4 linked regions of the Canis lupus familiaris genome follow. The protein of the gene in region 1 binds, or shares a complex with, the protein of each later gene. Links are inferred from orthologs where the notes say so. Each region holds a gene or a part of one and is shown in the gene's direction. Other genes may lie near its edges. The genes, in order: POLR3D, POLR3F, POLR3G and POLR3K.

What was found.
Region 2: POLR3D (region 1) and POLR3F share a complex: the UniProt entries of both Homo sapiens proteins name them as parts of the RNA polymerase III complex. The link is inferred for Canis lupus familiaris from reciprocal best matches to the Homo sapiens genes POLR3D and POLR3F.
Region 3: POLR3D (region 1) and POLR3G share a complex: the UniProt entries of both Homo sapiens proteins name them as parts of the RNA polymerase III complex. The link is inferred for Canis lupus familiaris from reciprocal best matches to the Homo sapiens genes POLR3D and POLR3G.
Region 4: POLR3D (region 1) and POLR3K share a complex: the UniProt entries of both Homo sapiens proteins name them as parts of the RNA polymerase III complex. The link is inferred for Canis lupus familiaris from reciprocal best matches to the Homo sapiens genes POLR3D and POLR3K.

What each region holds. Positions count from the first base shown.
Region 1 is NC_049246.1:35,176,713-35,182,890, reverse strand, and holds part of POLR3D (DNA-directed RNA polymerase III subunit RPC4), read left to right. Parts: intron 1-745; coding exon 746-789; intron 790-1,744; coding exon 1,745-1,896; intron 1,897-2,055; coding exon 2,056-2,180; intron 2,181-2,367; coding exon 2,368-2,536; intron 2,537-2,888; coding exon 2,889-3,154; intron 3,155-3,605; coding exon 3,606-3,758; intron 3,759-3,921; coding exon 3,922-4,044; 3' UTR 4,045-6,178. UniProt on the Homo sapiens protein: DNA-dependent RNA polymerase catalyzes the transcription of DNA into RNA using the four ribonucleoside triphosphates as substrates.
Region 2 is NC_049245.1:5,106,552-5,113,969, reverse strand, and holds part of POLR3F (DNA-directed RNA polymerase III subunit RPC6), read left to right. Parts: intron 1-96; coding exon 97-117; intron 118-245; coding exon 246-313; intron 314-1,655; coding exon 1,656-1,768; intron 1,769-5,031; coding exon 5,032-5,175; intron 5,176-5,387; coding exon 5,388-5,495; intron 5,496-6,517; coding exon 6,518-6,709; intron 6,710-7,418. UniProt on the Homo sapiens protein: DNA-dependent RNA polymerase catalyzes the transcription of DNA into RNA using the four ribonucleoside triphosphates as substrates.
Region 3 is NC_049224.1:18,657,849-18,665,786, reverse strand, and holds the start of POLR3G (DNA-directed RNA polymerase III subunit RPC7), read left to right. Parts: upstream 1-2,494; 5' UTR 2,495-2,615; exon of another isoform or gene 2,616-2,631; intron 2,632-7,938. Other genes in the region: CETN3 (centrin-3), read right to left, coding at 119-254, 2,475-2,491. UniProt on the Homo sapiens protein: DNA-dependent RNA polymerase catalyzes the transcription of DNA into RNA using the four ribonucleoside triphosphates as substrates.
Region 4 is NC_049227.1:40,883,947-40,892,054, forward strand, and holds POLR3K (DNA-directed RNA polymerase III subunit RPC10), read left to right. Parts: upstream 1-3,766; 5' UTR 3,767-3,815; coding exon 3,816-3,926; intron 3,927-4,672; coding exon 4,673-4,760; intron 4,761-6,214; coding exon 6,215-6,342; 3' UTR 6,343-6,780; downstream 6,781-8,108. Other genes in the region: RHBDF1 (inactive rhomboid protein 1), read left to right, coding at 1-108; SNRNP25 (U11/U12 small nuclear ribonucleoprotein 25 kDa protein), read right to left, coding at 1,162-1,219, 1,692-1,766, 2,301-2,406, 2,646-2,736, 3,409-3,450. UniProt on the Homo sapiens protein: Core component of RNA polymerase III (Pol III) which synthesizes small non-coding RNAs using the four ribonucleoside triphosphates as substrates. Can mediate Pol I proofreading of the nascent RNA transcript.

The sequences.
Region 1 (6,178 bases):
GGCTGAAGGGCAGAGAATCCTAATTACTTCCCAGGCAACTTGGGCAATGTTTATTTACTTTTTAAAAATGTGTTTGGGATACCTTTAAGAAACCCCTGAGAGCCAGCAGGCATAAAGTTTGCCCTCAATTTTAGAGAGTTCTGTATCCGCCATGGATTATGGTGGGCAAACTGTGATCTAGTGTAATGAATTCTAGGCAGGGCCTTGGAGGCTCAGTGTTCTTTTGCGTCGTGTTTATCACTGTAGATGTTAAGATCGTCCCGAAATTGGGGAGGGGAGGCAGCTGGTGGTGGTGATGTAGCAGAAGCATAAAGCAGCTAGTTTTCAAAGACTTGTTTGCCTTGGGAAATGCTGGTGGCAGTCTAGCTGTGTCTGTTTGTGGGTGCAGGCGGACTTTGTACTTGAGGCTTGCTGCTAGAGCTCTTTCCTGTGATATTCAATGATTTGACAAGAAGTGAGATTAGATAAATAAATTGTAGAAGTGCTCAGGGTTCTCCTTTCAGAGGGCAGAAGCTGAGGCCACTAACTAAAATGGGGTTTTGGTGCCCTGTTCAGTGTGTAAGTCCACTGCTATCATGACAGGATCTTCATTCCTTTTAAGCACATGCCTATCTCTGTAAACCATTATAACAGTAGGGAATGTAGAATGGTGGTCTTGGTCCATACAAGATCCCTTTTGAGAGTTTTCATTTTTCTCTGTACTTTGGGAAACTTAACAAATCAGTGACTCATATTTTATTTTCAGAAAACCTTCACCCCAAATATCATCAGTCGGAAAATTAAGGAAGAGTAAGTAGCTCAGCCTTCTAAAAACTTTCCCCTTGGGGCACCTGGGTGGCTCAGTGGTTGAGCATCTGCCTTCAGCTCAGGGCGTGATCCTAGGATCCAGTCCTCAGGAGCCTGCTTCTCCCTCTGCCTATGTCTCTGTGTCTCTCATGAATAAATAAATAAAATCTTTTAAAATAATAAAACAGGGAAGCCCGGGTGGCTCAGCGGTTTAGCACCTGCCTTCCACCCAGGGCGTGATCCTGGAGACCCAGGATTGAGTCCCACATCGGGCTCCCTGCATGGAGTCTGCTTCTCCCTCTGCTTCTCTCTCTCTCTCTGTCTCTTATGAATAAATAAATAAAATCTTTTAAAAAAATAACACAGATTTCCCCTATTGCTCTGAATTTGGGTCTTTTGGGAAATAACTACGTATGTGGCTCAGAAATCTAAATTTGTGTATTTTTTTTTCACTAGTGATTTTTGACCTTGGCTTCCAGGTGATTGTAACGTGCAAGTTTTAAAAAACATACTGATGCCTGGAAGTCCATCTCTGGAAATGGTGATTTAACTTTTTTGCGATGAAAGAGAGTGATTATCCTTTACGGCTGGAGTTGAGAGACACTAGTTTAGACAAAAATGTGTTCAGTTCTCACTTACATTCTTTTGTATCACAGTCTTCTTGCTTTTAAGCAATACTGAGAAGTCCACATTTAGGGGCAGTCTCTGTAATTCCACTTTTGAGTCGTAGTCCTGTTATATACTCTCAAGCAAGAAGATAAGTAAAGTGAACTGAAAGGAAACTGCCCCATCAAGGAAGTAGAAAAGGTGCTAGACTTAGGATTGGGTTCTGCTTCTTCAGATACAGTCACTGGCTCTTGATTCTCTGCTCGGGTAGAGTAGAGTGTGTGTCAGAGTAAGACCAGTTCTCTGAGGCAGAGTGAGTGAGTGGTTTCCCTTCCTCCATTCTCTTTTCCAGGCCCAAGGAAGAAGTAGCCATCAAGAAAGAGAAGCGTGACAGGGATAGAGACCGGCAGCGAGACGGGCATGGACGGGGCCGAGGCCGCCCAGAAGTGATCCAGTCCCACTCCATCTTTGAGCAGGGCCCAGCTGAAATGATGAAGAAAAAGGGTACAAAGCTTCTGGGGTTCCGGGAAGAAGAAATCCATAGATTTCAGTCCAGACTGCCCAAGAGAAGGGCAAGGGCAGTAAAATTTCCCTGCTCCCTGTGTGCTTTTCCTTGCTGTTGGCCTCTTCCATGCCCCTGGTGAACTGAGTTATTTCCCACAGGGAACTGGGATAAGACAGTGGATGTATCAGACATGGGGCCCTCTCATATCATCAACATCAAAAAAGAGAAGAGGGAGACAGATGAAGAAACAAAACAGATCCTGCGCATGCTGGAGAAGGATGATGTAGGTACCGGTAGGCTGGGCAGAGTGGGCTTCTGGGGAGCCAGGCTTGGGGGAAGAAGAGCTCTCTGATGTCCTAGAAGCCTGTGAGCAGCAGGAATCTTCAGTTAGAAAAAGCTCAGGTGGGCTGCAGTCCAGGTATGTGTGCATGCTAGCCAGACCATGTGACCCCCTGACTCTTCCCTGGTAGTTCATCGATGACCCTGGGCTGAGGAATGACACTCGAAACATGCCTGTGCAGCTGCCGCTGGCTCACTCAGGGTGGCTCTTTAAGGAAGAGAATGAAGAGCCAGATGTTAAACCTTGGCTGGCTGGCCCCAAGGAAGAGGACATGGAGGTGGATGTACCTGTTGTGAAAGGTACTCTGTCCATTAACGTCTCCTCTCCTTCCCTGTGGCTGCCCCCCAGGAATCCTCTCTAGGAATGAATCTCCCAGACTCATAAGCGGGTCCTCCCCCATTCCAGTTGTGAAGTACATGACCTGAACAGGGACACTAAATTCTCATTCTCAGAAAGTTCATGCTGACATGGATCCGTGGGCCTAGCCTCAGATACTCCTTTTTGATAAGCCACACAACTCCTGGACCCTTCTTCATACCAGTGCTTCCCTCCTGCTTCATGGTTGAGTGACAATGAAGCAGATGGGAATGAAGGGATGGGTACTGCAAGATGGCTACTTCATAGCTCTTCCATTTATGTTTCCTTGGGCAGTGAAAGAGGAGCCCCGAGATGAGGAGGAGGAGGCCAAGATGAAGGCTCCTCCCAGAACAGCCAGAAAGACCCCGGGCCTCCCAAAGGACATATCTGTGGCAGAGTTGCTCAGGGAGCTGAGCCTGACCCAGGAGGAAGAGCTGCTATTCCTTCAACTGCCAGACACGCTCCCTGGCCAGCCACCTACTCAGGACATCAAGCCTATCAAGACAGAGGTGCAGACTGAGGATGGGCAGATGGTGGTCATAAAGCAGGAGAAAGACCGGGTATGTGCATGGATGAGTTCTGTGGAAGCACTGAGGGGGCCAGGAAAGGAAACAGCCATCTGTTGCGGAGCAAAGGGGTGCCACCCAAGCTGAAATGCCAGAATAATACGCATTCATTCCACCCACAAGGTGCTTGAGGCTTTGTACTTCAACCCCTGTTACGTATTTTTACTTTTTACAATGAAATATTTAGTGTATACACAGATGAGAGAACATGAATTCTCATGTACCATCACTCAGCGTCAGCAGTAATAAATATTTTGTCTATTTGTCCATTTGTTTGCTTTGGGTTTTGTTGTTTGGCCAATGGCAGGCAACTGTGAAGAAAGGCCCTCTTAGGGAGCTCATTCTAATCTTTGCTGCTGACCTCTTCCTTTGGAAACGGTATCATTCATGCAGGCTGGAGGAAGAAGCTCCTTATCTTGTTTCCATCTTCTGATTCTCTTCGCAGGAAGCCAGGCTGGCAGAGAATGCTTGTACCCTGGCTGACTTGACAGAGGGTCAGGTTGGCAAGCTGCTCATCCGCAAGTCAGGAAAGGTGCAGCTCCTCCTGGGCAAGGTGACTCTAGATGTGACGATGGGAACCGCCTGCTCCTTCCTGCAGGTGAGAGCCTGTGGGGTCATGGTAGGGGCTCTTTAAGAGGTAAGGAGTGCTGAGGAGTCCATGCTAACTAAGGGAGAAGCATTCTTGGGATTCTCCTAAATCATAGGGCTGAGGAATGGGCTGTATGGTTTTGGTTCTCATTGCTGTTTCTGTTGATTGGCAGGAGCTGGTATCCGTGGGCCTTGGCGACAGTAGGACCGGTGAGATGACAGTCCTGGGACACATAAAGCACAAACTTGTATGTTCCCCTGATTTTGAGTCCCTCTTGGATCACAAACACCGGTAAAATGAGCAGATGGAGGATGATGGTGACTGTGCCCACGGCTGCCTGCTCCAGACGTTTTGTTCTCAAATCTGTGCGACCCAGAAGGGGCCTGTTTAGCCCACCCACTCCAGCCTTTGGCAGCCATTGTCCCAGTTTTCCCCACAGGGCCCACATGGCTTCCTCCCACGGCAGCTGTGAATGGCACCGTGGCCTTCCCACAGCATGGATCCTGCACATCCTTGCTGCTGGGGGACTTGTCCCTTCTATTTATTTTTATATTTATGTCTTATCTCTTCGAGTGACTGCACCCTCCCCAGGTAGAGAGGGGAGGGTCTATGGAAAAGTCCAGGCTCCTCCTGTCTTGCTGACTGTCTTGTTCTCAGGGTAGGAAGCGTAAGGACTGCTGCTGCTTTTACTCCTTCCTCTTTCCCAAGAAGCAGTGTTGGAGAGAGAGCTGGGAATTTTGAGTCTGGGACTCAGTGCTCAATCCCAGCTCCATCAGTTACTAGTTGTGTGACCTTGGACAAACTACCTAACCTTTCTCAGCCTCATTCCTCATGGGACAAAAATGAGGACAATACCTACCTCACAGGGTTGGTGTGAGGATTAAGTGGAATGTTGTAGGTGAAAACTCCTTGCACAAGGCCAGATAAACACAATGGGCACTCAATAAATGTTAGTTTCCCTTCCCTTTGCCTGAGTCTGTTTTCAAACAAAATAGAGATTCCAGGAATCTCTCGAAGACATGAATAGAGCTGCTTTGTCCTGACCTCCTGACTGCACTTACAATCCCCCTGGGCCTGAAGCTCTGAGGATACAGGTCCAGGCCCTTCCCTGCCCGTCTTCTCCTGAGCACTCTTAGCCAAGTACTGCCTATTTACTTGGTGAGGTGCTAGCTATAGTTCTACCAGAGGTGAAGTCAGAGACTGCCCCCCAGCACCGTACACCTGCCTTTGGTGAAACAAGGCCCCAGAACTCCTCCCCTGTCCCTTCCCCACAAGCCATGCAATGTCTAGCAGTACTCTTTTGGCTTCCATTTAAATAGTTCCCAAAAGAATCCTGTGAGTACTCAGAATTATGACCACACTCAAATACTGCTGAAAAAACAACCTTGGTAACATGGCAATTAAAGATTTATTGCATAACAACTTACTCGACACTTGAGAGATGACCTCCCATTTCAAAAGTTTTGAATTTGAGAGCCCCCCGCCCCCACTTCCTGTCCCGCCATCACCAGGTCTGCATCCCAATCCCAGCTGGCCACTGTGGCCTTTTAGTTCATGGGTCTATTACTTTGTTCCTTTTACCAAGTCATCACACTCTTGATCCTTTCAGTGTGTCGTTCCTGGAGGAGCAGCTGCTCTTCCCTTATCCCTTGCCTATGGGGCTGGGTTTTTTCCCTGGTTCAGTGGCAGGAGGCATCTTAGAGCTTAGGAAAGGCTGCCTACAGCAGTGTCTGTGGTTGTTCGACGCCAATGTCACAGCTCCCTTTTCTGTGAGCTTAGCCAACTGCCTCTGGAACAGCGATGGACCACACAGGCTCCATAAGAGTACCTCCTCCTGACTTTGAGGTGGCCCCAGAGGTTTGAATGAATATTCCTTCCTTTAGTCTCACTTTTCTGTCCTGTGAATCTGATTTTGTTCATGACAGCTGGGGTATTCCTGTGCCCAGCCCCTCAAACTGCATACCTAGCCAGCAGCTATGAAGAAAGATTGAACATTGTCCCTTCTGTAGGTCAGAGCTCATGGGAGCTCTGTTGGTAGTGTTGTTCTGGTCTCCTATTGCAAGGGACAGAAGGCTTCTGTGGGAACATGTAGAAGTTCTGCTTGCTCGAAGGCTGAGCTCTGTTCTCTGGGCTCCCGTGCTGCTTTCAGAAGCTAAAGCACTGCCAGTACACCTCTATTGCAATCCTCAGTTTCTCTTCTGTTTCTTTGGTTCAAAAACACTCTTCTGCTTTTCTGGGTCAACTCAGAGTCCCTGCCTTGTTAGCTCTTTGGTCTTTTGCAGTCTTTAGCTTTTTGACTCCCCCGAGAAAGCTTGGGGAAGAACATGTACTACTTTCACATTCTCCATCTCAAGTATCTTGGGGATTAACTATTAAGACCCTGCATCAGAGTCCCCGTGACCTGTCTGTGTATCCCTGATTCACAGATT
Region 2 (7,418 bases), on another chromosome or scaffold:
TTTTAACAAAAATGGGATCATGCTATCCATACTGTTTTGCAACTTGTTTTTTTCACTTACTATATCTTGGACATCTTTTCATTCTGGTACATACAGCCCTGTCTCATTCTTTTTAAGGTAAGCCCTTCTTTTGGTAAATAAGTCAATGTGATGACCTTGTCTGCTAATTCATTAAAGTAATTATGTAGATTATTAGATTATCCTGTATCTCTTTGTCTTTTTAATTCTACTTTATTCCCCTGCAGTAAAATGAAAGGATCAGATAACCAAGAAAAACTAGTATATCAAATCATAGAGGATGCAGGAAATAAAGGTAAGCAGGTAAAGGAAGAAGCAGAAAAAGTCATCATCTTTAAGACCAGAAATAGGAACTGAGTTCTGGCTTCCCAGGATACAGATCCATATGTAGAGAATGCTTCCATGTATGTTAAAAGAAGGGGAAGTAGAAATATATAATATACATATGCTTGCAGGACACCCAGGTGTGATGCCGTTGCTGTTGCCTCAACGCAGGCAGGGGCTAGATGGCTGGGGGCCAGGATGGAAAGAAACTTCTGAATTCTGAACTGTGGGAATGTACTATCTATTCAAAATAAATCAGCTAAAACTTAAGGGTTTTTTTTTTTTTTTTTTTTCCCAATCCTCACTTTCTTTGACGGCCTTCATTTCTTTAACTTCATCTTATCTGTAACTTGTGGATAATCCATCTCTCTAGTTTTTGCAAAAACCAAAGGGATGTCCAGTGCAGTGTGGCAGTGTCTGACAGAGGTCCCTCAGCAACTGTTCAGTTTTTCTCTATCCCCTTACGGAACTATATCTAAATTGCTGTTAATCCTAGAGTTTAGGATCTGAGTCCAATGATAATTTCAACAATGTATCAACAATGATATAATTTGAAATATCATTCTTGTATTATTAGGTGTTTAATATTTTTAAAATAGACATGACAAAAGCCATTCTCTATTTTTAAAAAATCTATCTTCCTATCACATTATGCCTCTGTGCTGGGAAGAAAATAAGGTAACACATTTTCTTTTTCTTTTATTTTTTAATTTTTTTAATTTTTTTTTTAAGGTAACACATTTTCTATAAAATTCCACATACAACCCTTCTTTGAAATCCTACCTTCTTGTAAAGGGCTTTTAGTGGCTGTGAGAATTGCAGTCTTCCTTTTTTTCATCTCCTAAATATAGTGTATAAATAATGGGTATATATGCACACACATGTTCACATGCAGTTTTTTGCACTCTGTTGGCGGTGATAGCTGACCTTGGCCCAAACTTAAGTTATAATCTAAATACGATCTGAAGTATAAATAATAGGAAACAGAATTTGGGGTATAGGAGGGGGTGGAAGAGACAATAAGTTAATTCAGTAACATTCAAGATTTTTCTCCATTAAAAAGTATCTTTTTCATATGTTTTTAAAAAGGTGCCACACTAGGATTCCAAGAAATTTCTGGTTAGAAGACATAGCGCATAACTTCTTTTATCATTTTGCATACTTTTGTTGTTATCTGAGATTCTTACCTCTAAGTCACTGTTTTTCCTATAACTATGCCCTAGGAATAGTATACATATTTTGCTAGTTTTGGCACGTGGACTACAAACACAAATCCTATGGCGTTGAACTCATTTTACTTTACTTTCTTACAGGAATATGGAGCAGAGATATCCGATACAAAAGTAACTTGCCATTAACAGAAATTAACAAAATTCTAAAGAATTTGGAAAGTAAAAAGCTTATCAAAGCTGTTAAGTCTGTGGCAGTGAGTATTTTTCTCTTTCCTTCCCCCAAGTGTTCACTGTATGTGTATTGCTCCAAGTATGTTTCAAGATCTTCTTGTTCTTTAGGCTATGTCATGATTTAAAACTACTAGTCAAAAAGATTTTTAAAAATTTCGTTTATATTGAATTGGTTTGGAGATGTTACTTACATTTATCACTGCCTGGTTAATTCTTTGTGTCTTACCCCCTTGAAAAGGTAAAACTACTGTATTCTTCAGTAAAGAATTTTTGGAATCATGAACATTTTTCATGGATTTTCAGCGTGTAAGATAGTTTACTTCATTCTAGCAAATTAGATTACTCATTCAACAAATATCTATTGTGTGTTTGCTCTGTGCCAGGCACTGTTTGGGTGTTTGGGATACATTAATGAACAAGTCAGGGAAAGATCTCTGCCCTGATAAAGTGTCTCTTCTAGTATGTAGTATTTCTCCTCCTCATCCTATCCCACCCCTATTACCTCCTTCAGGGATTTCCATTCAGAGCTGGATCCATCAGGGACACCAGCTACTGACCCCATTAACCTAGGCAGCAGAGGAGCTGAGATTCCCCTAAACTAAAGTTTGTTTGTTTGTTTTTGTTTTTATTTTTATTTTTATTTTTATTTTTGATAGTCACACAGAGAGAGAGAAAGAGAGGCAGAGACACAGGCAGAGGGAGAAGCAGGCTCCATGCACCGGGAGCCCGATGTGGGATTCGATCCCGGGTCTCCAGGATCGCGCCCTGGGCCAAAGGCAGGCGCTATACCGCTGCGCCACCCAGGGATCCCAAAACTAAAGTTTGTTTGAATGCGGATTTCAGCAAATAAGATTTTGATATTCATTTATCAAATGATATTTTTGCCTTAACACTCCTTTATTTATTTATTTTAAAGACTTATTAAGGAGCACCTGGGTGGCTCATGGTTGAGCATCTGCCATTGACTCAGTTTGTGATCCTGGGGTCTTGGGATCAAGTCCCACATCAGGCTTCCCAGAGGGAGCCTGCTTCTCCTTCTGCCTATGTCTCTGCCTCTCTCTGTGTGTCTCTCATCAATAAATAAATAAAATCCTTAAAAATAAATAAAGGTTTTATTTATATTTAGAGAGAGAGAGAGAGCACAAGCACAGGAAGGGGCAGAGGGAGAGAATCTCAAGCCGACTCCATTCTGGACATGGACCCCAGTGCAAGGCTCAGTCTCACAACTCTTAGATCATTACCTGAGCCAAAATCAATAGCTGATGCTTCCAGCTGCACCACCCAGGCATCCCCCCTCCCTTATTTAGAATATTATCTACCCTCTGCATTTTTAATGGATAATTTCAAATATATACAAAAGTAGAAAAAATAATGAGTCCCCACACACTGAACACCTAGCTTCACTTTGCCAATCTTTCATCTCCATCTTTATTTTTAATAACAGCTTTATTGAGATAACTGACATACCAGAAAATTCATCTGTTTAAATTGTATAGTTTGGCAGTTTTTAGTATACTGACAGAGACATGCAACCATCACACTATTCTAATTCACACATTTTCATCACCTCTGAAATGTGACCCCACTAGGAGTCACTCCCCAGCCTTCCTGCCCGTAGGCCCTGACAACCACTGATGTAGTTTCTGTCTCTATAGATCTACGTATTCTGGACATTCCATATAAACTGTATCATACAATATATGGTCTTTTGTATTAGGCTTTTTTTATTCACATGATGTTTTCAAGTTTTCAAACTAAAGTAGTTTTAGATTATAGCCCAGTATAAAATAAATACTCATGAGTCCATATGGAAATGTTTAAATAAATAAATGATTCCAAAAATTCCTTAGTGAAGAGTATAGTAGTTTTGGCTTTTCAGTGGGTGAGACACAAAGAGTTAGCTGGGGTGGCTTAGTCAGGCCAATTTCCACTCAGGGTCACGAGATTAAGCCCTGCATCATACTCCACACTCAGTGAGGAGTCTGCTTGCCCTTGTCCCTCCCTTTGCTTGCTCTTTCTCTCTCTGTCAAAAGTAAATTTAAAAGATCTTTTAAAAAATAAATAAATGACATCTTCCCACGAGTAGATTGAGGCAAAATAGACAAACTTCCTGTGCAGAAGAATTCTAGGTAATTTAGGTGGATGGACACTCTACCCTCAAAGAAGTGGAATATAACTCCCACTCCTTAAGTGTGGGCTGAGCATGGTGATGTCCTTCCACATATGGAAAGACTAGGGAAAAAATGTCAGTTTATGATGGAGAAAACGGAGAAGCACTACTTCAAGCCATCTGATCAAGGTTAACCTCAATACTGAGAAGTCTTATCAGTAGTGATCAGTTATCACTTGGTGATCGAACGCCCTTGACAGGATGTGATGAGAAGGGCACTTCTCCGTGGTCTTTCTCCTAGAGTAGTCATAAGAAAAACATCAGGCAGGTCCCAGTCAAGAGATATCCTATAGAATACCTGACCAGTCATCCTCAGTACTGGCAAGTTATCAAAAGCAAGGAGAGTCTGAGAATTTGCCAATGGAACAGGACAAGTAAGTGTAATATGGTATCCTGAATAGGTTCTTGGACCAGAAAAAGGATATTAGGGAAAAACTAAAGAAACGTCAATGAAGTATAGACTTTAGTTAATAATGATATATCAATATTAGTTCATTAACTGTAATAAATGCAACCTACTAATGTAAGATGTTAAGAGGGGAAACTAAGCACAAGGTAAATGTACCATCTTTACACTAATTGTGTAAATCTAAAACTGCTCTAAAATAAAAGGTTTGAGGGGTGCCTGGGTGGCTCAGTCAGATAAGCATATGAGTCTTGATCTCAGCTCAGGTCATGATGTCAGAGTCATGAGATAGAGCCCAGAGTCAGGTTCCATGCTGGGTGTGGCACTGGTTAAGAGTCTCTTCCTCCCCATCTCCTTGCCCCTCACCCACCCCAGCTCAAAAGAAAGTAAAAAAATATATATATATAAAAAGTTTTGAGAGTTTCTTTAAATCTTAGTTTTGAAAGACTTGGTTACCTTTTTTTTTTTTTTTTAAGATTTTTAAATTTATTTTTACAGAAAGAGCGTGCATGTGCACCAGGGGTAGGGGAGGGGCAGAGGGAGAGAAGGAGACTCTTAGCAGGCTCCACACCCAGCAAGGAGCTAGACGCAGGGCTTGAACTCACAACCCTGAGACCAAGAGTCGAACACTTAACCGACTGAGCCACCCAGGTGCCCCTGCAAGACATGTTTATCTTATAACCACATCTGCTGTTAATGTTTTTTCCTAGGCCTCAAAAAAGAAAGTATATATGCTTTATAACTTGCAGCCGGACCGGTCTGTGACTGGTGGAGCCTGGTACAGTGACCAGGATTTTGAATCAGAATTTGTAGAGGTGCTTAACCAACAGTGTTTTAAATTCCTACAAACCAAGGTGAGGCATAATTAAGGAAACATCACTGCAAATTTTTTTTTAAAGTTACTTCATAAAGAATGTTTAATCTTGTATATCATATTTCACATAGGACATGAAAATACTCAAACCAGTAATTTTCACTAAACAATATATTCTGTTGATTTCACACTATATAAACTGTGTTCAGAAAATGCTAGTGTTCTTATTGAGATATATTTCTACCCTAAAAGGCAGAAACAGCTCGAGAAAGCAAACAGAATCCAATGATACAAAGAAATAGTTCATTTGCCTCATCACATGAAGTGTGGAAGTACATTTGTGAATTGGGGATCAGTAAGGTAAGAGCTCAATTTTTAATTTTCATCTTATTTTTTAAAAGTTACTCTTCATCATAGGGATATAGTTTACAATGTATTCTAAACATATTTGACCCAGACCCCTTTTCCAGGTGATACCTATGAACCTTCTGCAGAACCCATTTAGACAGGTGACTGTCATGCCATCAGGCACTGTGTGATCTGTGTGAACTTAAGCTTGGAGGATAGAGCAGCAGAGCAGAGGCCTGGCATGCATGGCACTACCAAGATTCAAAAGTCTGTTCTGACAAGGTCTTGACTTTCTCAGAGACATTTCAACATAGGTGCCAAACATCAGTCATCACATCAGTTGTCATTTATTGGTATTGTGTCCCCTTGTAAGATGAGAGTGCTCTTGTCAGCATATGTTTTTGAAGACCTATACATAAAGACACTGTGCTGGATGTTCTTCATTATCAGAAAAAAACAATACATAGACAAGTCATCTTCATTTCCTGTCCCCCAAATCTTTCATTTATAAAAAAGTAGGAATTTGGACAATTTGATATCTAAAATAATTCTTTCTGCTCATTTTATGAATCCCCATAAAATTCTTGCCCCCAAAAATGTTACTTTATAAGACTTCTAGATTTCACTTAGAAAGTGGAAAAATAGAAAGTGTTGGGATGCCTGGGTGATTCAGTGGTTGAGTGTCTGCCTTTGGCTCAGGGCGTGATCCTGGGGTCCCGGGATTGAGTCCCACATCAGGTTCCCTGCGTGGAGCCTGCTTCTTCTCCCTCTGCCTGTGTCTCTGCCTCTCATTAATAAACAAAACCTTAAAAAAAATAAAGTGTCAAATTCAGCATGAGGTTAGAGTTCTGTCTCTAGCATTTCTGTGGTTTGTGCTAACTTGGGCTGCTGTTCAACCCCTCACTTCTGATTACTCACCAGCATGATGTTTCGTCATTTCACTGAGGAACTGTGAACCCTTTACTCTTTACACACTCTCCAAAAGGATGTCTTCTTGTGCTTTCTGTGTCCTTTCTAATGCATCTCCTTTTCAGGTAGAGTTATCCATGGAGGACATTGAAACTATCTTAAATACACTCATTTACGATGGGAAAGTGGAGATGACTATCATTGCTGCAAAAGAAGGCACTGTTGGCAGTGTAGATGGACACATGAAACTGTACAGAGCAGTCAATCCAATCATCCCACCCACAGGTTTGGTCCGGGCCCCATGTGGACTCTGCCCGGTGAGTTAAAGTGGCTCCACTTCATACCTGACTGTGCAAATGCCACCTAACTTAACAGCAAGCACACCCCCATTTTCTGACTTTCAGAGTTGACCAAGAGCAGCTCAAACCTCCATGTAACCTTGATGATGGGCCCTTGATGAACAAGTCCTTGCTTTACATTTTTATTTACAATAACCACGCTAGGGAAATTTGTGATTTTTTTCCTGTAGGCCCTGAAATGGACAATGTTTAATGAGGGCTGATCATTTAACCTAAGTAAGGAGGGAAATAAGATTTGTTGAGAACCTACCACAGGCCAGGCATGTTCTTGAAGATTTATATGGTCTCATTTAATCCTCCTCTTGTCCCTTGGAGCTAGTGATGTTATTTCTGCATAAGCATGAGGCTAAGCAAGGTGTAGAAGCTACAGCTTAGAAGTAACAATCAGGATGCAAACCCAGAGATGTTTTTTCCCCTGTTATCATACCCCCAGCACTCTTCATTCATCTGTTCCCACATAGTTCACACATGCCAGCTGCATGCTGCAGGCACTGCATATTCTTGGGCTTCTGGTATATGTTTTATTTCATTGTACCAGCCCTTGTCTATATGCCTAAGCTTTCTGTATGCTGGTTTCAACTTCTAGAAAAACCAGGAAGCATATTGGGAATTCTATTTAGCACCATTTACAAAAAGAAATGTAGCTAACGTGAAACATTTGATTAGT
Region 3 (7,938 bases), on another chromosome or scaffold:
TGGTTTCATATTTCCACAACCAGTTTAGTTAAAATACTTTAGATGGGTTATTTTAGCCAACTATAGAAAATGCAAACAATTTTAACAGAAAAATATACATTTTAAAGTACATTATTACCTTTAGTTCATGATAATCTATTGCTTCATCTTTGTCTGTGTCAAACAGTTCAAAAGCATCTTTAATTTCTTGTTTCTGTTCTTCAGAGAGTTCTCTTCTTTTTTTTCTCTTTGTTTTGTCTACTACAAGCTCATTTCTATGAAATGAGAAGAAAAGTCTATTCAGTCTACTTTAATTCTATTCTCCTACACATCTAGATAATTAAAATTTCAAAATGCGACAAAGAAATTAAACAAGGAAGAATTTTTTTAATTTCTAAAAAGGAATTATTTGAGAGAAAAATGAAATTTTTCTTCCCATGAGTCAAAGCCTTGCTCAATCCATAGTCTAAGCTGCTATAAATCTGCACTTTCCAAAACTGAAAAGTGTTACATGTTATTATAAGAAAAAAAGGACCTAACTTTCTTTCCTTCTGGCTTTGTATTTATTCTGATATTAATGTGGAAGAAATAACTGTGAATAAAAAAATTATTCATCACAGAAATCGCAACAAAACTAAAGCACTCCTACTTATTAACATTACTCTACAACATAGTATTAAACTAATCAAAGGAAAATTCATAATTGAGGATCATTGCATATTTGGCTTACTTTTGAGAGCATTTATAAGTTATCAAAATTACTACCAAAAAAAGCGTATCACTTAACAATTAACTTACAAAGTTTGTGGCATTGTGGGTTCAAAGTGATTTACAGTACACATTGCTAAGTTTGGGGCTTTATTTATAATTTCTTCCATTGATATTAACAAATCAACCGAAATACTGAAGTCTAAATATACCATGAAAATTAAAAGCCAAAACAAGAATGTTTGTGCTAATTTTCTATATTTTTTAAATTTCTTAAAAGGAATTATTTGAGAGAAAAATGAAATTTTTCTTCCATGAGTCAAAGCCTTGCTCACCCCATAGTGAAGAGTCCATGGTTTTCTAAATTTCACTTGTAAATTTAGATATAGCTTCTCCTAAATCCTGGAAATTTCTTGAAAGTAGATTTTATTTAAAAAGGCAGAAATGGGGATCCCTGGGTGGCCCAGCGGTTGAGCACCTGCCTTCAGTCCAGGGCGTGACCCTGGGGTCCCGGGATCGAGTCCCTGCACCGGGCTCCCTGCATTGGAGCTTGCTTCTCCATCTGCCTGTGTCTCTGCCTCTCTAACTCTCAAGAATAAATAAATGTTAAAAAAAAAAGGAAAAAAAAAAAAAAAAGCCAGGTATGTCTTAAGAGATACTCATCTTAGTGTTCCAAAATTTCGAATGGTGCCGCAACATCCGTACAAGAAGTTTGAAACCAATTTCCTAACACTTTGAAATGTAAAGCCTAGTTGATTTTATTTAATAAAAACACCTTACCTATTTGCCTGTGTTTTGCTTTCTAAAAACCTACCACAAAACCGTCAAGAGACAGACGATCAGAAGATGACCAGGAGACCTATAGTAATAAACAGAGCGGGGGGACAACCTTTCACAAGACACCTGACTTCGCGCGAACAGGGACCCCAGTCCCCGCGGTCACCTTCTCTGGACGGCCAGGTCAACAGCAGGACCCGCCACGGGGTCGAGGCAGGGCTGCCACCATCATCTCCCAACCCAAAGCCGCACCTGTTCAGAAAGGCGTAACCACCTTTTTTTTTTTTTTTTTTTTTTTTTTTTTTAAGGTGCAACGTGTAAAAACATCTAGGTGCTGCTGCTGCTGGGGGCAACGAACGGGGTTAGAGATTGGAAGTCAATGAAAGGTAAACAAAACTAAAAAAAAATTTTTTTTTGAGAAATCAATTAAAGTCATTTATATGGGTCGCCCGTTATATCTTAAAGCAGGGCCCCAGGATAAGAGCAAGGAAGAGTTTAAAGCTCTTTCCAAAATTTATAGCTCGGTCTGACGGCTGCAGGGGCTGCAGGGGCTGCAGGGGCTGCAGGGGCTGCAGGGGCTGCAGGGGCTGCAGGGGCTGCAGGGGCTGCAGGGGCTGCAGGGGCTGCAGGGGCCGGAGACCCGGAGGGCGGAGCTGAACCCAGGGAGGCTCCCCGGCCTGACTTCGCGGAGAAACACCGCGAGAAGAAGCATCGCGATATTTCACTCCCTCCTCCCAACTAGAAACCCATCTCCTCGGTGGTGCAAAGCCCGACGCGCTGATACAGACGCTAACTACCTCGGCACAAATGCACGGGACTCCTCACCTGCGGAGCACCAGGGCCCCCAGGGTGAGGAATCCGAGCCAGGAAGGCTGGCCGAGGCTCCTCGCCCTCATCCCAAAATGCATCCCCTTCCAGCTCGCCTCGGCCCAGCTACCTCCCTTCTACACACGCCAGCCCTGGGGCCCGCTGCGAGGTGTGGAGGGCATTGCGGCCTCCTCATTACCGACCTCAGAGCTAAACTCATTTTCTCTTCGGACAGAGACGTTCCCCTCGAGAACGACTTTAACGCCCTGCCCAAGGCAGCACGACTTCCACAAGCCGTTCAACAGACACCAACGACCTCAGCGGCCTCAAGGACCTCCCACAAGGTAGACGCTTCGGAGTCGGATTGGTTGACGTTGCTAACAGCCCGCCCATTGAGGCGGAAGCGTCCCTGGTCCTCTGCTCTCATTGGGCGTGCTTCGCGTCAATCAAAGAAGCCGCTCGTCCCTCTTCTTCTGCCCCTCCTCCCCGCCCTTTATTGGCTTGTTGAGGTTTCCCGGAATCCTTTGCGGAGCGAGGGTCCAGGTGTCTGCGTGGTAGTTTGGGCGGTAGGTGGCTGCACCTTGCCTCCCGCTGGGTGACCGCCGACGAGATGGACGGCTCCGGGGGAGAAGGGAGGGAGGGAGGAGAGGCGCGCCGCGGGGCCAGCCTCCTTAGCCGAAGGGAGGGAGCGGCTGGGGAATGAGGCCTGCCGAATTTGACTGCGCTGTGTTCTAAAACCTTGGGTGGCCTGAGTCCATGGGGAGTTTGTTTAAAACGCAGATTTAAACGTCCCGTCCTCCCAATTCTGATTTTAGTAGGTATGAATTTGCATTTTTTTCCCCCTTACAATCCCACGTGCTTTTAAGGCAGGTGCTGTCGCTTATAGATTGTATATCTAATGGGTTGGATTATTAGGCTACTTACGGTAAAGCGGCACTTGACGGTACCTTAGCTCCCTTCTCCCTCCCTGAAGGGATCTGTTCTCTTGCATCCTTTGTTTTACAGGGTTGGAAGCTGCTTATACACGTTATATTATCTTAAGCTCCAAACTAAGTTCTTGAAGCTCACCTGGGTAATTTGTTTACTTGTTCATCACTCCTACTAGGCTTTCTTCAAGTGCAGGATGGTATCTTTCATTTAACGCGGATCCCAGTGCCTGATACGGTGCCTGATGCACAGGCGCTCAATGAATATTTGTTGCGTTGGGTGGGATCTTGCTGTGAAAACCCACAAATCACTGAACTAAGTTGTAACCCTTATAAAGGAGTGAAATAGCCTGAATATGGCGTTGAGGCAGGGTAAGGGGGAAGATGTATAAACACTATGGGCTATGTATAAAGGATATATATATATATATATATATATCCTCAACATATATATGTTTATATATGTTTTTATATATGTTTATATATAAATATGTTTATACGTATAAACATGTTTATATATTTAATACACATGTTTATGTTGGGATCCCTGGGTGGCGCAGCGGTTTGGCGCCTGCCTTTGGCCCAGGGCACGATCCTGGAGACCCGGGATCGAATCCCATGTCGGGCTCCCGGTGCATGGAGCCTGCTTCTCCCTCTGCCTATGTCTCTGCCTCTCTCTGTGTGTGACTATCATAAATAAATAAATATATATATATATGTTTATGTATATATTTATATATGTGTTTAGGTATATATTTTTATTATATAAACATATATATATATATATGTTTAAAGAAGGGAGAGAACCAGTAGGACAGAAGAAAGTCTTCTTGAAGGATTTGGCCTATATGTTAGGCTTAGAAGGATGAACTAAATTTGGACAGGTAAAACTAGTATGATGGTGTAACTCTAAAAATTAAAGGTTAAAGGAAACCCCCCCCCAAAAAAAAAAAAAAACAAAATTAGAACACCTAACCTTTTAAAGTATTTCTATAAATCACTGTTGACTCGAAAAGGAAAGGTAATATTGCCACTAATACGGTTTTTGGTAGTTTAAAAGGAAGGTTGGGGCACCTGGCTGGATAAGTCTGTAGGGCATGCATCTCTCGATATCTGGGTTGTGAGTTCAAGCCCCACGTTGGGCATAAAGCTTATTTTAAAAAAATAACAAGAGGGAGGTTTACAAATTATTAAAGTACTTTATACGACTTCATGCTGCCAATGAATTTTAATATTGAAATGAAATAGTCACTTTCCAAGGGAAACAGATGACTCAAAAAAGATAGAAAACTGAATTAGGTCGATAACTATAGATAGAACTGAATGATAGGATGATGCCACAATTCCATGCTGTAAAATAAAAAGGCGTCCAACCCACTCAGAGTTCTGGGTGAGTTTAAAAATTCATGAGGAGCAGGCGCCTGGCTGGCTCAGTTGCAGGAGCATGCAACTCTTGATCTTGGGGTCGTGGATTCAAGCCCCACGTTGGCTGTAGAGATTACTTAAATAAAAAAGAAAAAAACACCAAACAACTTTGAATTCATAAAAATTCCCAAGGAACTAATTCTGGTGCTTTAAATTCAAAGTATGATGAAGAACTTAAATTTTGAAGCTTGCACAGAGAACATTTAAAGCATTTAATATCACTGACTGTATGCTCCATGATAAGAGGGTACATGTTGGGATGCCCGGGTGGCTTAGCAGTTAAGCGCCTGCTTTCGGCCCAGGTCGTGATCCTGGAGACTCAGGATTCAAGTCCCATGTCAGGCTTCCTGCATGGAGCCTGCTTCTCCCTCTGCCTGTGTCTCTGTCTCTGTCTCTGTCTCTCTCTTTCTCATGAATAAATAAACAAAATTTAAAAAAAGAGGGTGCATGTTACTCACCATTTTATAAGCTCATGTTTCATGTTCGCTATGAACATATGTGCAAAAATTTTAGATGTTGACAAAATCAATTTGGGATTGTCTTAAGGGAACATTTCACTATAACCAAATAGAGTTTATTTTTAAAATGCAAAGGGATGATTCAAAATACAAATCTGTATTAATTAATCATAATTCTGGATTAAGGAGATTAGCTAAACATCCAAAAAGAGACTCAAAAATACTCAAAATCTATTTCTAATAAAATATATGTTAATAAACCAGATATAGGAGGTACATTTTTAACATGAACAACATACTTCAAATATGCTAGTGTTTCTTAAACCTGGTAACTGCAACACTAGAACTTTATAGGATGTGGGCAAATAATTTGGGAAAATAGATTTTTAAGTGTTAAAATATTTTCAACAGGATATCTTTCCAAGGGAATGACAGGAAAGTTAATGCATCACTTCTACATAATTGGGAGAATTAGTGACATGTCCACTCCTTGCTACAAGGGAGGCTGGAAAAAGAAATTTCTAGCTGGGGACACCTGGGTGGCTCAGCAGTTGAGCATCTGCCTTTGGCTCAGGGCATGATCCCAGGATCCGGGATCAAGTCGCACATTGAGCCTGCTTTTCCCTCTGCCTGTGTGTCTGCCTCTCTCTGTCTCATGACTGGATAAATAAAATCTTAAAAAATAAAAAAGAATAAAAACTCTAGCTGAAAAACTGTGTGCTCTGCTAAAACTTGGGGTCAGATCATCTATTACTAAAGATAAGATAGAGGATTAACATCTCTGTCACAAACATCATTAAAAGTTATCAACACTCTCTAAAATTCTAATCAGTGATGTAATAAAAAAGAAAAAGAAGTGATATATAAGATAAACATCATGTATCAGACTATTAGAATTGAAAATAATTCAATAAAGTAGCTGATTTTCAGAAAAATTTGCAAAATCAACAAGCAAGTTAAAATAATAGCAGTATGAAATTCCTACAAATAAACTTAAAAAGAAATCTGTAGGATCAGTAGGTAGAAAATCACAAAATTTTACTAATGCACATAGATCCATAGATTTATCTGTAAGTTTAATCAAAATGAAAATTCTCCATTTTTAATTTTTTTAAAGACTTTATTTATTGAGAGGTCACATGCGCACACGAAGGGAGGGGCAGAGGAAGAGGGAGAAGCGGACTCCCCTCTGAGCAGGGAACCCAGTGTAGGGTTTGATCCTAGGTCCCTGAGATCATGACCTGAACTAAAGGCAGATGCTTAACAGACTGAGACACCCAAGCACCTCCATTTTTTCTTGAATAATAAAAATTATTCTAATGATCATCTCAAGGATAATTGGATAAAAATAAGTTACAAAATGGTGAAAAAGAATAGTAATACAAAAATCACTCTATAGGATATTAAAATGTATTTGCTACTATTGTAATCAAAATAGTAAGTCCAGAACCAGAGCCAAAAGTAGATAGAACTTGTGGTTTAAGAGGATAGTAGCATTAGTATTTGTTTAGTCTTGCTCCTGAAACCTTAATAAAACAATAGCTGAGAAATAATTTCCAATACTAAAGTGATCTGGAGAGCTAACATCAACAGAGAAGATATTTCAAAAAATATCTGAAAGATCGGGGCACCTGGGTGACTCAGTGATTGAGCATCTGCCTTTGGCTCAGGTTGTGATCCTTTGGTCCTGGAATGGAGTCCCTCATGAGGCTCCCAGCAGGGAGCCTGCCTCTCTCTCTGCCTATGTCTCTGCCTCGCTGTGTGCCTCTCATGAATAAATAAATAAAATCTTAAAAAAACATATATCTGAAAGATCCAAAGAGACATGGAAGCCTGTTGACAAATGAGACAGATCATCAAAGTCTCAACTCCTTAGAATTTCAGATGACCAAAGCGTCAGAGTTGATCTGCCTGACAGAGTCCCAGAGAGGCCCTAGGCTTAGAGTTGTCTGGCACAGAATGGGATGGAAATGAGAAGAGAGCCAAATGTAAAATTTAAAAGCTGTTTAGGAAACCATTGCACTCGAATTGTTTCAGATTCCCTGCCCCGGTATAGTCTCTCTTCACATCTATCTAGACTCCCATTCTTAAAAATGAAGAATCAAAAACTGTCAGAGATAAAAAGAAAATCAACAGCATGAAAGATAAACTAAGGAAAACCATTATCTAGGAAGACTCAGAGTCAGCTTAGGAAGCAAAACAAATTCATAATAATATTAAGTTTCCTAAGAGGTAGTCAAAAAATACTATTTTAGAGAACAGCATACTCTTGAGAGAGGAAAATTCTGAGAATAATGAAAGACTGTTGAAAATAAGCATATGATTGACAAAATCAAAAATTTAATAGAATGATGAGATAATTTAATTGAGGAAAAACTCCAGAACTTGGAGATTTCAAACAAAAACATGGAAAAATTGAAAAAAACATGGAGGATTCATCCTATAGATCCATCATATGACTAATAGGAATTCCAGAAACAGCAACAAATGGAGAAGAGGTAGAAAAATATCAAATAAATGAAGAAAATTTTCAGGAAACTGAAGATCAGTACAAGTTCTCAGATTGATAGTCCTATCCCACCTAGTACTGAGCAAACTAAAGTGGTAAAAGAAATTACATATCAGACATTTCAGAATATCAAAACTAAAAAGGTTAACTTTCAGGGACAATCTGCTCTCCTATAAAACAGTAATAATTGAACTAGCATCAGATTTCTCATCAGAAACATTAGATGCCGGAAAATAATAACTTCAAAATTATAAGGGAAAATTATTTTGAACTTAGCATTCCATTCCTTTGCAAGACAAAAACCAAATGTGAGAATGTGATAAGGATTTCAGAAAGTTCAATCATTGTA
Region 4 (8,108 bases), on another chromosome or scaffold:
CTCTTCTACTTCTACCCCGTGCGCTGCGAGTGGTGCGAGTTCCTCACCTGCATCCCCTTCACCGACAAGTTCTGCGAGAAGTACGAGCTGGATGCCCAGCTCCACTGAGTCGGCGGGCCGCTGGGCCCGGGGCGCGCACCGGCAGGCCAGAGCTGCCCTGGCCCGCCCCGGGCCTTCTGCGCAGGGCTTGCGTCCTGCCTGCTGCCGGGCCCTGACCTCTCGTGCCTTGTTCACCCTGGTGAACTTATCGTGCTTCAGGGCATTTACTACACTAGTTCCCACAATTATCTTCTAACTAGTTTCTTGACGACCACTTCAGGTGGCCAATAAATGGACTGGGAGCGTTTTAGCTGCCACTAACTTACCGGAGCTGCCTCGTCTTTCTGGTTTCTGGCTAGGGCCATGGAGGGAGAGGTTCTTCAGGCCTCTGCGCGCAACACCCCCCACCTTACAGTTCCCCAGAACAGGGAAGTTAAGTGTGAGATATACCTCCCCGTGAAGTCCCTCAGCAGGGTGGACGGCTATCTCCTGCCCCCTTCCCCAGGGTGACCGGCAGCTGACAATGAGAGAAGAACCCACGGCTGTGCTGTCTCATTCCGCCCCCAACCCCCACCCCTGCCGCCTGGCACACGGAGAGGCACTCTGACCCCAGCCCTCCCTCTCCAGCCAGCAGCTCCAAGTTCTGCCCCAGGCCACCTCCCTTTCCAGGAGCCAAAGGGTGAAGTGTGTCACTATAGGTGAACCCTGTGAGCCACGGCTGGAGACCTCAGCCACATGCTGGTGGGTGCACGGCCCCCGTTTCTGCAGAAGCACACACAGAAAGCCGGCCATCTGCTTTTATTTCCCCTTGCTGTAGAAATCACAGTAAAAAGGTTTTATCGCGAGGGGATGATTTGGCCACAGGGCTCAAGTGGAAGCATTCTGGACCTTAGGACTCACCTGCACCATCCTCTGCCCTTGCCTCCCCTCTGTGCCTGGGCAGCAGCGGTCCCTCCTGCTCCAGGAACTGTGGCTTTTTGACTTTTCAAACTAAGAAGCAAACGATTTATTTTGTATACAGGGCCAGGTCCATCTGCCATGTGATTAGGATGTTTGGACCTAGGGCTTAGCTCTGTTCCAGCTGGGTGCAGGCCACCAGCACCTAATTGTCTTTCTGGAGGTTCATTTCTGCCTCAGCTTTTTGATGAAGGACACCTCATCCCGGTTCCGGATACCGTAACTAGAAAAGAAGAAGAGCTCTAGTGTGTGATTTGCAGAAGGTATGTGTGGAGCCTCACCTGAGACTTGGGAGGGTATTAAAAAAAAAAAAAAAAAAGGTAGGAACAGCTTGTGTCTGGGAAGGTGAGGAGTGGCAGTGGCCATCGTCTCACGGACCTAGGTCGTGCCAGCAGGCAGCCTCTCACCTTCCCACACACTGCCCTCCTCTGGCTCTAGGAAGCCCCGCTCTACCACTGGTGAGCAGTACTCACACTGCCCCCATGCCTCCCATTCCAGTAGGGAGAGCCCTCAGGAACCTCCCTGCAGGAGGGTGTTGGTTGAGCCAGGGACTCTCTTGGTCTTGCAAATTCTCCAGTGATTGATTTAAGACTCCTCCTCCCTCGGAAGAGGCCCCAGTCTTCTGGCAGAGCCTGGGTACTAAAGGGCAACAGACCAGGTGCCTCTCTGCAGCTCAAAATGTGGTGTGAACTTACTCTCGAAGCTTCTTCCTGTCCTCTGTGAGCTTCTCTCCTGCAGAGGTCAGGTAGTAGGTCCTCCACACATAGGACCTGCAAAATCCAGATGAGGATCTGGGTAAACCACAAGCAGGGTGATTGGGCAGCTGGGACGCAGCAGCTGTGTGTGAGATGGGCTCGGGATGCTCAGCTCTGGGGGGCCCAGGGCAGGCAGCCTCTTCTTGGCTTGTCCTGTACCCTGTACACACCAGGCCCGAGGTAGCTCGAAAGAGGCACCGCTCTGAAAGAGCCGTGTGGGGTGGCTGGGGGCCAAACACACCTTCCTAATGAAATAGGCTACAGCACGGAGACAGAGACGACCCATGCTGCAGGAGTGAGGAGACCACCCAGGGGAAGATGGGGTAGGGCCGCTGGCAGCTGCACCGTCTGTAACCAAGGAGACCACTTACGCTGGAAATGCTCCAAGGTGCCCCCATTTAAGAAGCCCAGTTGCCTGGGTGAGGTGATGTAGATGAAAGAGAACTGAGGCAGGACTCCCAGGCACCGTGGCACCCACCGCGCCGGGACGCTCAGGACAGGGAACTCCTCGGTGCTCTGTGGCACACATGCAACAGTGGCTCCACTTACCAGCTGATGTGCTGAATGCCCCCTTCACGCTCCTGCCTGAGCTGCACGTATCTCTGAATGGCCTTCTTCAGGTCCAGGACTGTGGCGTTCTGCACCACAACCACAGCTGCGGGAGAAGAGCCATGTTAGGATCCACAGCCACAGCCTAGGACGGCAGGAAAGGAACCAGAAGCTCTGTCCAGACTGTTTTGGACGGAGGCTCAAATTCAGGTGGGGTAGGCTTGTGGTTGCCCCGATGCCCTTCGACGTACATGGCTCTTGAGTTTCCCCTGAGCAGCCATGGCAGCGTCTTGTCTGCGTGACAGCTTGGACTGCAGGGTCCGCAGGGAGAGGGCGAGCACTTACGCATTATCTCTCCATCCATCTTGCACACGCGGACTGTCATCGCTTGGCCATATTCTAGTGCTATCTGGGAATTGACTTCTTCCAAAGTAACCTGCAGAAAGACCAATGGTGGAGGTGGGAGCCTTGGCTGCCTTTGCTATCCCAAACCACAAGACAAGACAAGCGGATAGCATCGGAAAAGCAGTGCCGTATCTTACGAAAGACGAGAGACAAGATTTCTTACTTCTATGCTAGGGTTTCCCGGTTGCACCTACATTTTAAAAGTGTTTAATGTGCAAAGTGCATTAAAGCTCAGGAAAAGAGGAGCGCTGAAACAGGAGAGGGTGAGCGCCAGATCTGGGCTCTGGGGCTGGGAAGGAGGAGGCGCGGTCAGTCCGGGATCCAGGGCGACACCGGGCGGGGGGGGGAGGGGAGGCCGGTGTGCGAGGGTGACCGGGGCGCCCAACCCAGGAGTGAACGTCCTCGGGCGGGGCGCGAATCTCGATGCGGAGTCCCGGGGTGGAGCCGTTCTCCCCACTTGAGCCTCAACTACGGAAACGACCTTAGAACCTGCACCTGCAGCGCAGCCGCGCCCGGGGCGCCCGGGGCGCCGTCGGGGTCCGCCTTGGGACCGGACGACCGTCCGCCTGTCCCTGTCCCCTGCTGCCCCCGCTCGTGCTCGGGTCAGTGAGGTCCTTAAAGGACACGGGAGAATCGAGGCCCGCCGCATCGTCACCTCTGGCGCCCACAGGGGGAGGTCAGGCACCGAGGTCCCGCCGCGCACCTGGATCGGGAGGTCGCAGAGCAGCGGGTCCTGCACCACCATGGCGAGCCCCTCCTGGAACACGTCCACCGCCTCGGAGTGCGGCAGCGCCTCCTCTTCATCCTCCTCGGCCTCGGGCGCCTCGGGCCGCGCCGCCGCCGCCTCCGCCTCGGCCTCGGCCTCCGCCGGCTCCAGGGCGCCCGCCCAGCCCCGCGCTCCGACCGCGCCGCCGCCGCTTCCGGCCGCGAGGGGCGGGGCTGCCACGGGGACCGATGGGAGGCTCGAGGCGGCCTGCCGCAGGGGCTGCTGGGAGCGCCAACCCGGCCCGGCCATTGGGGCGGCGGCGGCCCGGGCCAATGGGAGCTCGCGACGGGCCCGACGCCGGCGCCCCGCGGCCGCAGGGGCTGCCGGGAGCGCGCGGGGCAGCCATGCTGCTCTTCTGTCCGGGCTGCGGGAACGGGCTGATCGTGGAGGAGGGACAGCGCTGCCACCGCTTCGCCTGCAACACCTGCCCCTACGTGCACAACATCACGCGCAAGGTGATCACCCGCCGCCCCCCGCCCAGCAGCCGACGCCCGCCCCGCCGGGGTGCTCCAGCGGCCCCGCCCCCGCCCCCCGCCGTATCGGGAGCGGCCTGGCCTCACCCGGCTCCCGTGGCGGCGTCCCCGGCGGCGGCCCGGGCGGCCTCGTCGGAGCCGTGGCCGGATCAGGCCCGCCCTGTGCGCTGGCGCGGCTGACTGCGGGTCCGGGCCGACGCCGCCAGCCCCCGGGGAGCAGCCCGCGCCGCGCACCGACACGGCCGCCGGGCCTTTGCACGTGCTCCCGCTGCCCTCCCCGCCCCGCCCGCAGCCTCGCCGTGTTTGGGTCGTGCCGAGCAGCGTGGCTCTGGCGGACTCGGGTCACCTGCGGACACGCCTCTACGGGACTTGCGTGCCTGGGGTCGGTGCTGCGGCCCCAACCCGGGCCCTGGACGGAGCCGCGGCGCACCGCCCGCCCCGAGCTGCCCGCGGGAGTTGGGGCCGCCGCCGCGACGCCCGGGACGGAGCCGGGGGCCTGCGCGGAGGGCCCGGGCCGAGCGTGGACGGGGTGGGGTGGGGGGTCCCGGCTGCATCCGCCTCTTGGGCCGGCCCGACGCTGGAGCCCCTGGACCCGGGCCGAGCCCTGCGCCGCGGGTGTAGAGACGCGGCTGCCCAGGATCGTGCAGCCCGCGGGGAGGAGGGCAGTCGGCGGCCGGGTCAGCACCGCGCCCCTACCCGCGGCCTGAACACCTGCCGCCTTTCGCCAGGTCACCAACCGGAAGTACCCGAAGCTGAAAGAAGTGGACGATGTGCTCGGCGGCGCGGCGGCCTGGGAGAACGTGGACTCCACCGCAGGTGAGAGCTGAGGCCGCGCTGCCTTTGAGGAAGGAAGCTCCTAAAAATAGCGTGTGTATTTTCTTCTTTAGTGATTTATTTCTTACACAGGCAATATTGGCATAAACCCCAGAGACGTACAGGTGTGGGTTAGTCTCAAAGCCACAGCCTCTTAACATCGCATGACCTTGGTGGCCTCCCTCCGTTGTGAGAGCGTGAAGGGAGCCCCGCAGCACTTGGCCTCTAGCGTGGTCCTCAAGTGGCGGCTGTGCGGGGAGCAACCGATGGCAGTAATGAAAGTCGGAGCCTAAGGAAGAGTATATGGTCCATTTGTTCAGTTGTGGATCTTTTTTAAAATTAATTATCTCTAAAAAATATTTTATTTATGTATTCATGAGAGACGCAGAGACAGAGACACAGGCAGAGGGAGAAGCAGGCCCCATACAGGAGCCCGATGTGGGACTCGATCCTGGGACCCCCCGGGGTCACACCCTGAGCAGAAGGCAGATGCTCAACCACTGAGCCACCCAGGGATCCCTGGTGTAGATTTTTATTTTTAATTAATTAATTTATTCATTCATTCGTTTGTTTGTTTGTTTATTTATTTATTTATTTATTTATTTATTTTTCTTCCTGGTGTAGATTTTTAAAAGCTGATGGCAGAGAGCATTCACATGTTTATTTCAAGTCTTGTTTCCTGTCTGATAGAGGTAGATGTGACCAGGGAAGGAAAGAAGAGAGCCCTAAACACATCTGTGTTGAGCGGAGGAAGACCCAACTCCTGTTTAGTATTATCTTTTCTCCCCCATAGAAGAACATCTAAATCTGATATGGTAAAATTAGCATTGGCAGAATTTGCCAGGAAAGAAAAGAAGATGATTTTGGTACCTAATGTTCAAAGTGCTGTTTGTGAGTGTTTGAAGGCATTATCAAGCATAGGGTCAGTTTCCCGAACTGAAGTCACTTTGCCTTGAGGTATTTGGCAAAGGTGTGGGTTGTATGGTGAGGTCTTCATAAGAACGGCCTGAGGAACTGCTGCCGAGATGGATCCCTAAATTTAATGGGAAGTGGATTTGTCATCCCCTGGGGGCTCCTCCAGGAAGTTGAGAGGGCTTAGGTGATGGAGATGCACTTGGAAGAATCTGCCCAGAGTGGACCCCATCATGCACATGGTAGCCATAAGCCACATTTCATGTCACATTTCCAGCTAGTCTTCAACCAGATTTGAGAAGAAAAATGGGACTCAGGGAGGGGAGCAGGAGTGTTTTCCAGGGTCACAAGTCCCCTCAGTGTGAGAGTGTAGTGGGAATGATGCCACTAATTACAGCCTTTCAGTCATGGCGCAAGGTGCCCTAGGCAGGGGATGCCAGATGATTGGGGTCGGGGAGGGATTTGGTGTGTTAATACCTACCTACTTCTAGCAGGTGTGTTTGGTCATGAGCATAATGTGGGTCACTTGTTTTTCTCGTTGCCAGAGTCATGTCCTAAATGCGAACATCCTCGTGCCTATTTCATGCAGCTTCAGACTCGCTCTGCAGACGAGCCGATGACCACCTTCTACAAGTGCTGCAATGCTCAGTGTGGACACCGCTGGAGGGACTAGGGCCAGGATCCAGCTGTGTCATTGTCTGCCTACCTTGTTCCCTAGGGTGGATTCACAGCCAGGAGTGTGAACTGTTTGTCCTGAACTGTCTCTGCTGATGTGGCCAAAAGCTAACCCTTTCACGGGAGCTGGTCAGGGTACCAGCCCATCTGGCAGTCAGCGGATGAGCTCATTTATATCCAGGGGGATTGTGTGTGCAGGGAAGGGTATACATAAGTAAGTGTGTTCTTTTTAATATCCTGTTTGTGGATCTTGTAGGTATATTGGCTAATTGACATCTTTTCACCATTATCCTTCTTAAATATGCACTCTGATTGCACAACTAATAAAGTAAAATGTTATAATGTAGGACATTAGATGTATCTAAGTATTTAACTTAATTGTAAACTTATCACTATCTATTCTGAATATTTAATTAAAATGGAAAGTCTAATACTGCTTTTCTAGTGTTTATTTTTTTTTAATTTTTTGCCAAGAAGTATATTTTATTTTCGTTAATCATACAAATAATTTGCTATAATATCCCAGGGTAAACTGCAGAGTTTGGCAGTCTGACTGGGGCGGGGTGGGGGCTGGGGGGCGGCCCTCAGAGACCTGCAGGCTGGCAGCCTTCAGCGTGGAGTGCCTGGGTTCACAGCACAGCTTGTCACTCGTGGCCATCTCGCAGGTGGCTCTTCCTCTACATCACGACCCGGGTGTCTCGAAGATGTTGTGGGTGGGGAACCCTCTAGATGCTTAGGAAATTTTATTCCGTTTCTACTGCTCGATGGTCTCTGGTTGGCAGGGTGTTCTCCAGCGTCTCCATTTTCTTTAGCTTGGCCTTATCGAAGCTGGCGATTTCCCCCGTGTCCAGTTTGCTATTTCTTAAAGCGATCTGTGGAGTTCCACCCCGAGTCCAGTGCTGGGTCCTCCCACTCGTGTTGCTGCAGCAAGAGACCGCTTTCTCATTGTTTTGAGTGCTTTGAGAAGCAGACATCAAACAACTGCCATGCTTAGGGCTCTCCTGGTAACAGAATACTGATAACATGCTTTTCAATTTATCATTCTGTTCTTGTTTCCTAGGATTGCAATAAATTTATTAGGTAGACTATATTTATGCTTCCTTCATTTAAAAAAAAAAAAAACTTATTTATTTATTCATGAGAGAGAGAGAGAGGCACACAGGCAGAGGGAGAAACTGGCTCCATGCCGGGAGCCTGATGTGGGTCTCGATCCCTGGTGTCCAGGATCAGGCCCTGGGCTGAAGGCGGTGCTAAACCGCTGAAACACCTGGGCTGCCCTTCATCTTTTTATTAGTAAAAGGAAAAGGACATCCTGGACTGGAGCGGGGTAGGATGTTAGTTTGTGGATAGTTTCGTTTTTTGCTCAGGACCTCAGACCTAATTACTTTTCTAAATCTCTTAATAATGAAGTCTCACTTGTGAAATCATGGGATGCAAATTTATACCTCTGATAGAAATTTTTACATTTTTGAGACGGTATCTTTTCCAGACATGAATAATCTTTAAGTTTGGCACGATGGTGATGGTTTGTTTGTTTTTAAGTAGGCTCCACATTGGAGCCCAATGCAGGGCTTGAACTCATGACCCTGAGATTAAGAAGTGAGCTGAGATCAAGTCAGGTGCTGAACTGACAGCTACCCAGGTGCCCCAACATGATGGCTTTCTTTTGCCGTAACATGTAGATCAGGTTCTGAGCTCATCATCTCTTGGTTTGGTTATTTTCCAAAACAGTTTGTTATGGTGATGATGAAATTTTACAATGTG